Linked DNA regions of Drosophila melanogaster. The protein of the gene in region 2 interacts with the protein of the main gene of each other region in a biochemical or structural test. Each region holds a gene or a part of one and is shown on either strand. Other genes may lie near its edges.

The links.
Region 1: of the proteins of gnu (region 2) and png, one has a biochemical effect on the other in vitro, tested with the Drosophila melanogaster proteins (2 studies listed by BioGRID).

What each region holds. Positions count from the first base shown.
Region 1 is NC_004354.4:1,355,799-1,359,344, forward strand, and holds png (pan gu), read right to left. Parts: upstream 1,804-3,546; 5' UTR 1,736-1,803; coding exon 860-1,735; 3' UTR 690-859; downstream 1-689. Other genes in the region: CG11417 (uncharacterized protein), read left to right, coding at 1-612.
Region 2 is NT_037436.4:14,801,722-14,805,152, forward strand, and holds gnu (giant nuclei), read right to left. Parts: upstream 1,640-3,431; 5' UTR 1,539-1,639; coding exon 1,511-1,538; intron 1,453-1,510; coding exon 758-1,452; 3' UTR 659-757; downstream 1-658. Other genes in the region: NHP2, read right to left, coding at 1-58, 119-369.

The DNA.
Region 1 (3,546 bases), on a different chromosome or scaffold from region 2:
GATGGCATCGATTTGAATGACGCCTATTTCGCCGAGGAGTTCGCTAATGGAGACTACGCTCCCCCTAAAACGAAGCAGGACAAGAAGAAAAAGAAAAAGAAGGGAAAGGACGATGGAGAGGAGGACGTCGAGGCGAAGCGGCAAGAGAAGGAGCTTGAGCTACTGCTGGACGATGGCGACGGGCGCGACGAGAAGCAACACTTCAGTCTGACCAAAATCCTCAAGAAGGAGGAGCAAGAAGCGAGCGGTTCAAAGCGAAAGCGTCGTCAGAAGTTAAAGAAATCGAAAAATCAGCCGCAGAATGCGGAGAAGCTGGACGACGACTTCCAGGTAAACCTGAATGATAATCGCTTCAGTGCCGTTTACAAGTCGCACGAGTACAACATCGATCCCACCCACTCCCATTACAAGCCCACCAAGGGCATGCAGCAGATCATCGGCGAGAAGTTAAAGCGCAGAAAGGAGCAGGGGGAGGGCGGCGCTGCAAACGGCGATGCGGATGGGGATGAGCAGGTAGCCCCCAAGAGGAGTAAGCAGCAGCTGGAGCAGAACGCCCTGGTAAAGAGTCTGAAGCGTAAGATCCAGCTGCAGCAGCAGGGCCAGAAGCTTTAGAGGATTAATGTTACTGTACAATAGGTGAACAAATGTAAATTAAAGACTACGTTAATGACATTGAGCGAGACTGTTTTGGAATATACATTATATACTGTTTATAGCTGACAGATCCCCTGGCAAAAGCACAGGCGCACACAAAGCACAGCACACACCTTAATTTATCGCTTAAGCTAGCCTAGTTCTTAAGTACAATGAAATATTTGTTGAGGTCTCCTCGTGCTGGTGAGCTGACCATTGGCTTCCGTTAGTAGCTGTAGCTGAAGTAATGCTTGTAGAGGGTCACAGTCATGCCGGCGTCGAGGTGGAAGATGTCTGGTAGGCAGATGCGGCGCTCCTGCTCGTAAACGACCATCAGCTCGCAAACTTGCGCCCACACGGGATCGTAGAGACGCCGGATGAGCTGGCAGTCGAGCCGGGGGCGGACCAGCGCCTGGACTACGGTGTGCAGTAGGGCAGGGGTGGCGTTCTTGTCGAGAAACGCGGCGAAGGGGCTGCGTCCGAGGCACAGCTCGTAGAGGACTAGCCCCAGTGACCACACGTCCGACTTGAAATCCACCTTGCCCTGGCTGGACATCGCCTCCGGGGCCATGTACATGGGCGTGCCCATGCCCGCCTGCAGTTGAGTGCTGGGCGCATGAACGTTCGCGATCCCAAAGTCGGCGATCTTGACGCGGTCGTTGGCGTCGAGGAGCATGTTCTCGGGCTTGATGTCTCGGTGGATGACGCAGCGGATGTGCAGGTACTCGAGTCCCACTACCATGTCGCGGAAGTAGCCCATCAGCCGCTCCTGATTGACTCCCCCGGTGCCTGACGGCAGCTGCTGGATGACATCCCTCAAGGTGCCGTTGGGCACGTACTCCATCACGATGTTCACAGTGCCCGCGTGGCTAAAGGAGCGCAGGAACTCAACGATGTGCGGGTGGCGCAGCTGCGAGATGATGTACACCTCCTCCTTGATCAATCCCAACTCTGTCTTCGGATTCCGGACGATGATCCGCTTCACGCACACCTTCCTCTCCGGCTGTCCGCGCACCTCGTTTTGGTGGCAGAGGAAGACCCGGCCAAAGGTGCCCTGGCCCAGCACCCTTACCGCACGCAGCTTAGAGTCACCCAGTTCCATCTCGAGTGCGCAGAGTTCCGAAAGCGTAATCCGCGATCCCGCCTTGATGTACAGTTAGCCAGCAAAAGCGCAAGCGCGCCATCTATCGATTGCTTCGAAACAAGAGATGCACAGTTCCATCGGAAAAAGCCGAAAACTCGGAACTTCGGAAACCCCATATGAAAATTGCTCATCTGGCCAGCAGCAACAGTGCTCAATGAAAGTAAGTTATTAGAGTCTGGTTAATTAATCAAACTAACGCATCGTGAACTAACCCCATTCAAAAAGTCCATCCATGTGAAAAGTATGACTATCCTAAATTTTTATTTATTTTATTTAACAAAATTAAATATAGTATACAATACTAAACCTAATTAAATTTAATGAGTACTAGCTACGGGGGCCTTCGACTCGAGACTTATGGGTTAATTGCTTTATATAATAAACTTAGCTTTTTGGACAAATTTGTAAATTTTTGAGATATTTTCACAGGATGGGATACTTAAACAATTCGAGAGACTATGTGTACCAAATAAGTGAGATCTAATTGAGTGCAATTGACTGCAGGCGTTGAGAATATGGTCAACGGTGAGCTCGTCCCCGCATAGTTGGCATGTTGGTCGCGCCGATCTCATCAGTAAGTGTTGATGTGTGGATTGGGTGTGCCCGATGCGTAGACGGATAAAGGTCGCGCATTCCCGTTTATGTACGTTCGTTGGTGGCTTGAACATGATGCAATTCGGATTGATAGACTGGTACCTGTGCATGAAGAGTGCCCATTCGGAGAGTTTCTTTTCTTTGAGGTATAACTTGATTCGACTTTTTAGGTCCTTGGAGTTAAACGGAGTGAACAGGATTGATGGTGTAAGCCTCATCTCTTGGGCGGCTTTGTCAGCAAGTTCATTCCCATGAATACCTTGATGACTGGGAACCCAGAGTAAGGTGATTTTTTTTGGGTGAGAACTTAGAATGTGCCTAACTTCTTGTGTTGTGGGGTCATTATGGTTCCAGTTGCGTATAGCGGAAAGAGAGGAGAGGCTGTCTGTGCAGATAACAGATTTTCCAGCGTTTTTGGAAGCGAATTGGCATGCTTTGAGAATGGCGAAAGCTTCGGCTGTAAATATGGAGTTGTAGGACGGAAGCCTACCTCCTGCAATTATTTTACGGTTAGAGTCAACAACCGCAAAAGTAGTTGCGCCGGTGACTTTAGAACCATCGGTGTAGATCCAGTTTTTCACACCAAGATCTTCTTGTGCGCTCATAAAACGTTTTTGGTATTCTAGGCGACCTGTATCCTTTTTGGCAGCATTGTATATTTGAAGGTTTATGTTAGGCTGTTTGGAACCCCAAAGTGCTGGCGATTTGAAGGGCCTCCTGGGCTTAGGCAGGGGAAGGTCAAGTAGCTTGATGTAGTTGGCGCAACGTCTTAGGGTGGATATGCACTTGAATTTCCGTTTTTGTTTAAATATGGCTCCGAAGTCTTTGGTTAGCAGGCAGTTTGACGTGGTGTACAGCTTCGGGATAAGCATCAATGTAGTTTCTTCTACGCGTGATTGGATACTCGGGAGACCCGATTCTGCCAATGTGCACGCTACTGGAGATGTGGGAAATGCGTGAATGGCGCGACGGACCGCTCCGTGATATGGGACTTGTAGCTTTTTTAAGTGTGATTTAGCACACCAACCGAAGATTGGCAGTCCGTAGTCAATTTTAGATAGCATTAAAGCGCGCGTTCGGCATTCCACAGTCTTCGGGTGGAGACGTGTTTCTTTCAAGCTACGAATAGCAAGTTCTAAAAACTACAACAGTATAGTGAAAGTTAAACACAAAGT
Region 2 (3,431 bases):
GGCTGGTAAGTGGCACATGATGTCCACAGGTGTAACGTCGCCAGCAAAGATGCAAATGCTGGAGAAGATGTGGGTATATTTCTTGTTGTCTTGCAGTCACGGATCACGCAGCACTTACCCAGTTTCGCCCTTGCGCAGGCGAGTCTGTACATCCTTAAGTCCATTTCGCAGGAAAGTCTTGTGCTTCATGGCCTTCTTCACCAGTTTGTAGCACTTTTTGGCCAGTTTTTTACCTGCCATCGGTTTCGCGATGGCGTTCACAAAGATCAGCTTGTCGTCGTAGGACTCCTCCTCCTTGATGGTAACATCGCCGCTGGCCACAACGGACTCATCGGCATCCTCGGAGCGCTCTACTTTCACTTTGCCCATTGCTTTTTTGATAAAAACGTGGATATTTTGTTTAAACGGCTTTTTGTTCGAAACACGTGTTCAGTGTGACCGCGGATCGACTTTTGAAGCATACTAGCGTGCCGCAAAAATATACTAAAATAAATACCGTTCAGACATGGATTAATGCGACTTACTCTATGGTTTGTGACTTTACTAATGTTTTTAGCTAAGTTCATACACTGAGAAAAATTATTACTTAATGTTAAATGAATATTAAATTAAAAATAGAGTTCCAATCCCAAGCCCCAATCACCGCGCAAAAATACTTCAAGACCACATTAAACATTTATTAAAATCTCACATACAAATTCAAATCCACATGACATAAAACAGTTTAAAATTAGCAGAAATCCTACAGGATATAAAATCAGAAGAATTGCTTGGCCAGTTGGATAATATTCATGGCCAATCGGATCTCCCGGGCGCCGCGAACGCCCAGTGCCGCCAAGTCCTCCAGGGTCATTTGGATGAGCACCTCGATGTCGATCTCCTGGCGCGTGAACAGCTCTGTGAGATGCGCGTTTCCGGTGCGATCGAGCAGGGATTTGACCCGAGGACTCAAAGTGGGGTGCTCCACCGGGGAGCAGGGCTTATAGCGTGAATGATGGATACTGGGAGTGGGACTTCTTGGGTCCTCCACTTTAATCTTTCGCGCACTTTTCAACTTGGATTCCTCCTGCCTCAGCCGCGTTTCCTGCTGCAGTCGGATATCCGGCTTTGGTCTGTCTTCTCTCTTAGTTCTCAGTAGTTTCGAATCTCCAGATTCTCCCAGTAGCCTGGTCTCCCCATTTATAAGGGTACTTTGACTTGTGGGCGAAAATACGGAACGCGTGCGCATAAATTTCTGTGAAAATCGACGGGGCAAAGTGGATTCCGATAGTCGTTTTAACCCGGACAATGCCGGTCGACTGTTAGGAACCGTAAGATTATTGTTCTTCGGCATTCCAAAGAGTCCGTATCTCGCGGTACCCTTCCTGCCAACGCCTCCAGTGGGCGTGACATCTTCGAATGTAAAAGCTTCGGTGGAGAGGGGAGTGAGTGGGGTCAGTGGGGATGCGGGATCTATTGAAAGTTAAAGGATATATTTTAAACTTGTTTACAAAAGTATTAGCAATACTACCTCTATAGACGCGATTGTAGCGCTCCATTCGGTAATTTTACAAATAATATTTTCCACGAGCACAAAAAAGACGACAAAAAAAAACGTGCAATAAGATTTGCAAAATGCAACTAACTGTAATTAACTGCTTTTTTAATGCGACCGCATTAAGAGCGGTTAAAATTACCGAAAATTCTGTGATCAGGCAACTCATAAAATCCTAGTCATAGAACCATGATCAGTGCTGAAAAACGATCCTTAAAAATAGATCATATAATGAGTTTTTAAGATCTAAATTACAATATGTATATTTCTTTTCAAGAAAATAAATTTCAACAACAGTCACAACTATCACAAAGTGCTTAAAAATATGATATAAGAATTATGCCTAATAACTAATTGTAAACTACAATAGTAAAAATAATTCATAAAAAACTCGAGAGTTTAGAAACTATATAAAAATGTGTTTTGTTTCTGTTAAGGTTTTTGTGCCTGTTTATAATTGATTAAGAATAAACGTTAATCTGGCACATTAGAATATTCATATCCATGTTTTTTTGCTATTGTTAAATCTCTGACTTTACCCTCGTGATTTGGGTGAAATAAATAAATTAGAATAAAAGTTCAAGGAACTCGCCACGCATTAATATTTACCATTTCACATGTCTAAGTACCAAATATCGTTTTTATACCGTCTACATAATATTATTTTGCTTCTAATTAAAGCGAGTTTGTCCAGTTTTTCAGTCGTTACTTTTGCGGTGCGATTTGATTTGATTTGCTTCGGTTTTTGCGTCGAAGTTTTTGCGACAAATCTTTTTTTTGCGAATTGGCAGTCAACAGATGAACCGATAAAATGTAAACAATTGTTGCACAAAACGTGCAAATTAATTTAACGAAAATAATCAATTAAGTTAATTTAATGACGCCGAAAATTCACAATTCTTGCGTGCAATAATGACAATATTCATAAAGAGCACTTGGAGTAAAAATTGACAATTTTTTTTATGAAAATGCCTAACCATAAAACATAAAAAATTTTACATTTTGTTATAAAATTTGCACAGTAATTTATTACTTCAATAGTCGTTTGCTGTGCAAATTAATGTATTTATTGAAAAATACTTTTTCATGTCATCTGATAATCATTTAAACATATATTAATTGTTTCGCTATGCATGAAAAAGAAAATATTACAGCTAAATACTAATTTAAACAAATTAATAGTTAGGAAACTGTAATATTGTATTGGTTATGCTCTAAAATATAAATACATTTTATTTTTGTCAAATGCTTAGCGTGCACTTCTTACTATATAATATATTTTTTTTATGAAACCTTAAGTAAGGCTTACTTACTAAAGATTCGGAACCATTTTCAAAACCAGTGACTTCAGATAAATAGATATCTATATTTATCTATGTATGTAAAGATATATTATTTTGTGTACTGTGAAATCATGACATTGCCACCTGTTAAAGCCCCACAGATATTTTGGCGCTGCTGCTGCTGTTGTTTGGGTTTTAGGCGCTTACCTTGCTTTATTTGGTTTTTCGTGGGCAAGAACAACATGGAATTATTGTCTTTGCGCAGTCGGCAATGCCGAAGCTTTGCAAACCCCCCACCCCCCCTGGCGACCAATAAACTCCCCCCTTTCGGCTAAGTTGGCCACATGTGGGGCTTGTTGTTGCCGGCTTTTGGCTAAGAAACAGCTGAGCTCGGCCAGCTGCTTTGTGTTTATATTTTTTTCACGAGCATCGAAGCGCCTGCGCACTAGCCATACATATATATACTTATATGCATATACATATATAGAGCCCCCCGATCCCGAAAGCCGAAGCGGAAAGCCGAGCTTTTTGTCGACTCGAGAACGGACGTATAAAATAGCGATGGCTGGGCACAAAGCGATTCAGTCGTCTAACGGAGTTCAAACCAAGCTGAG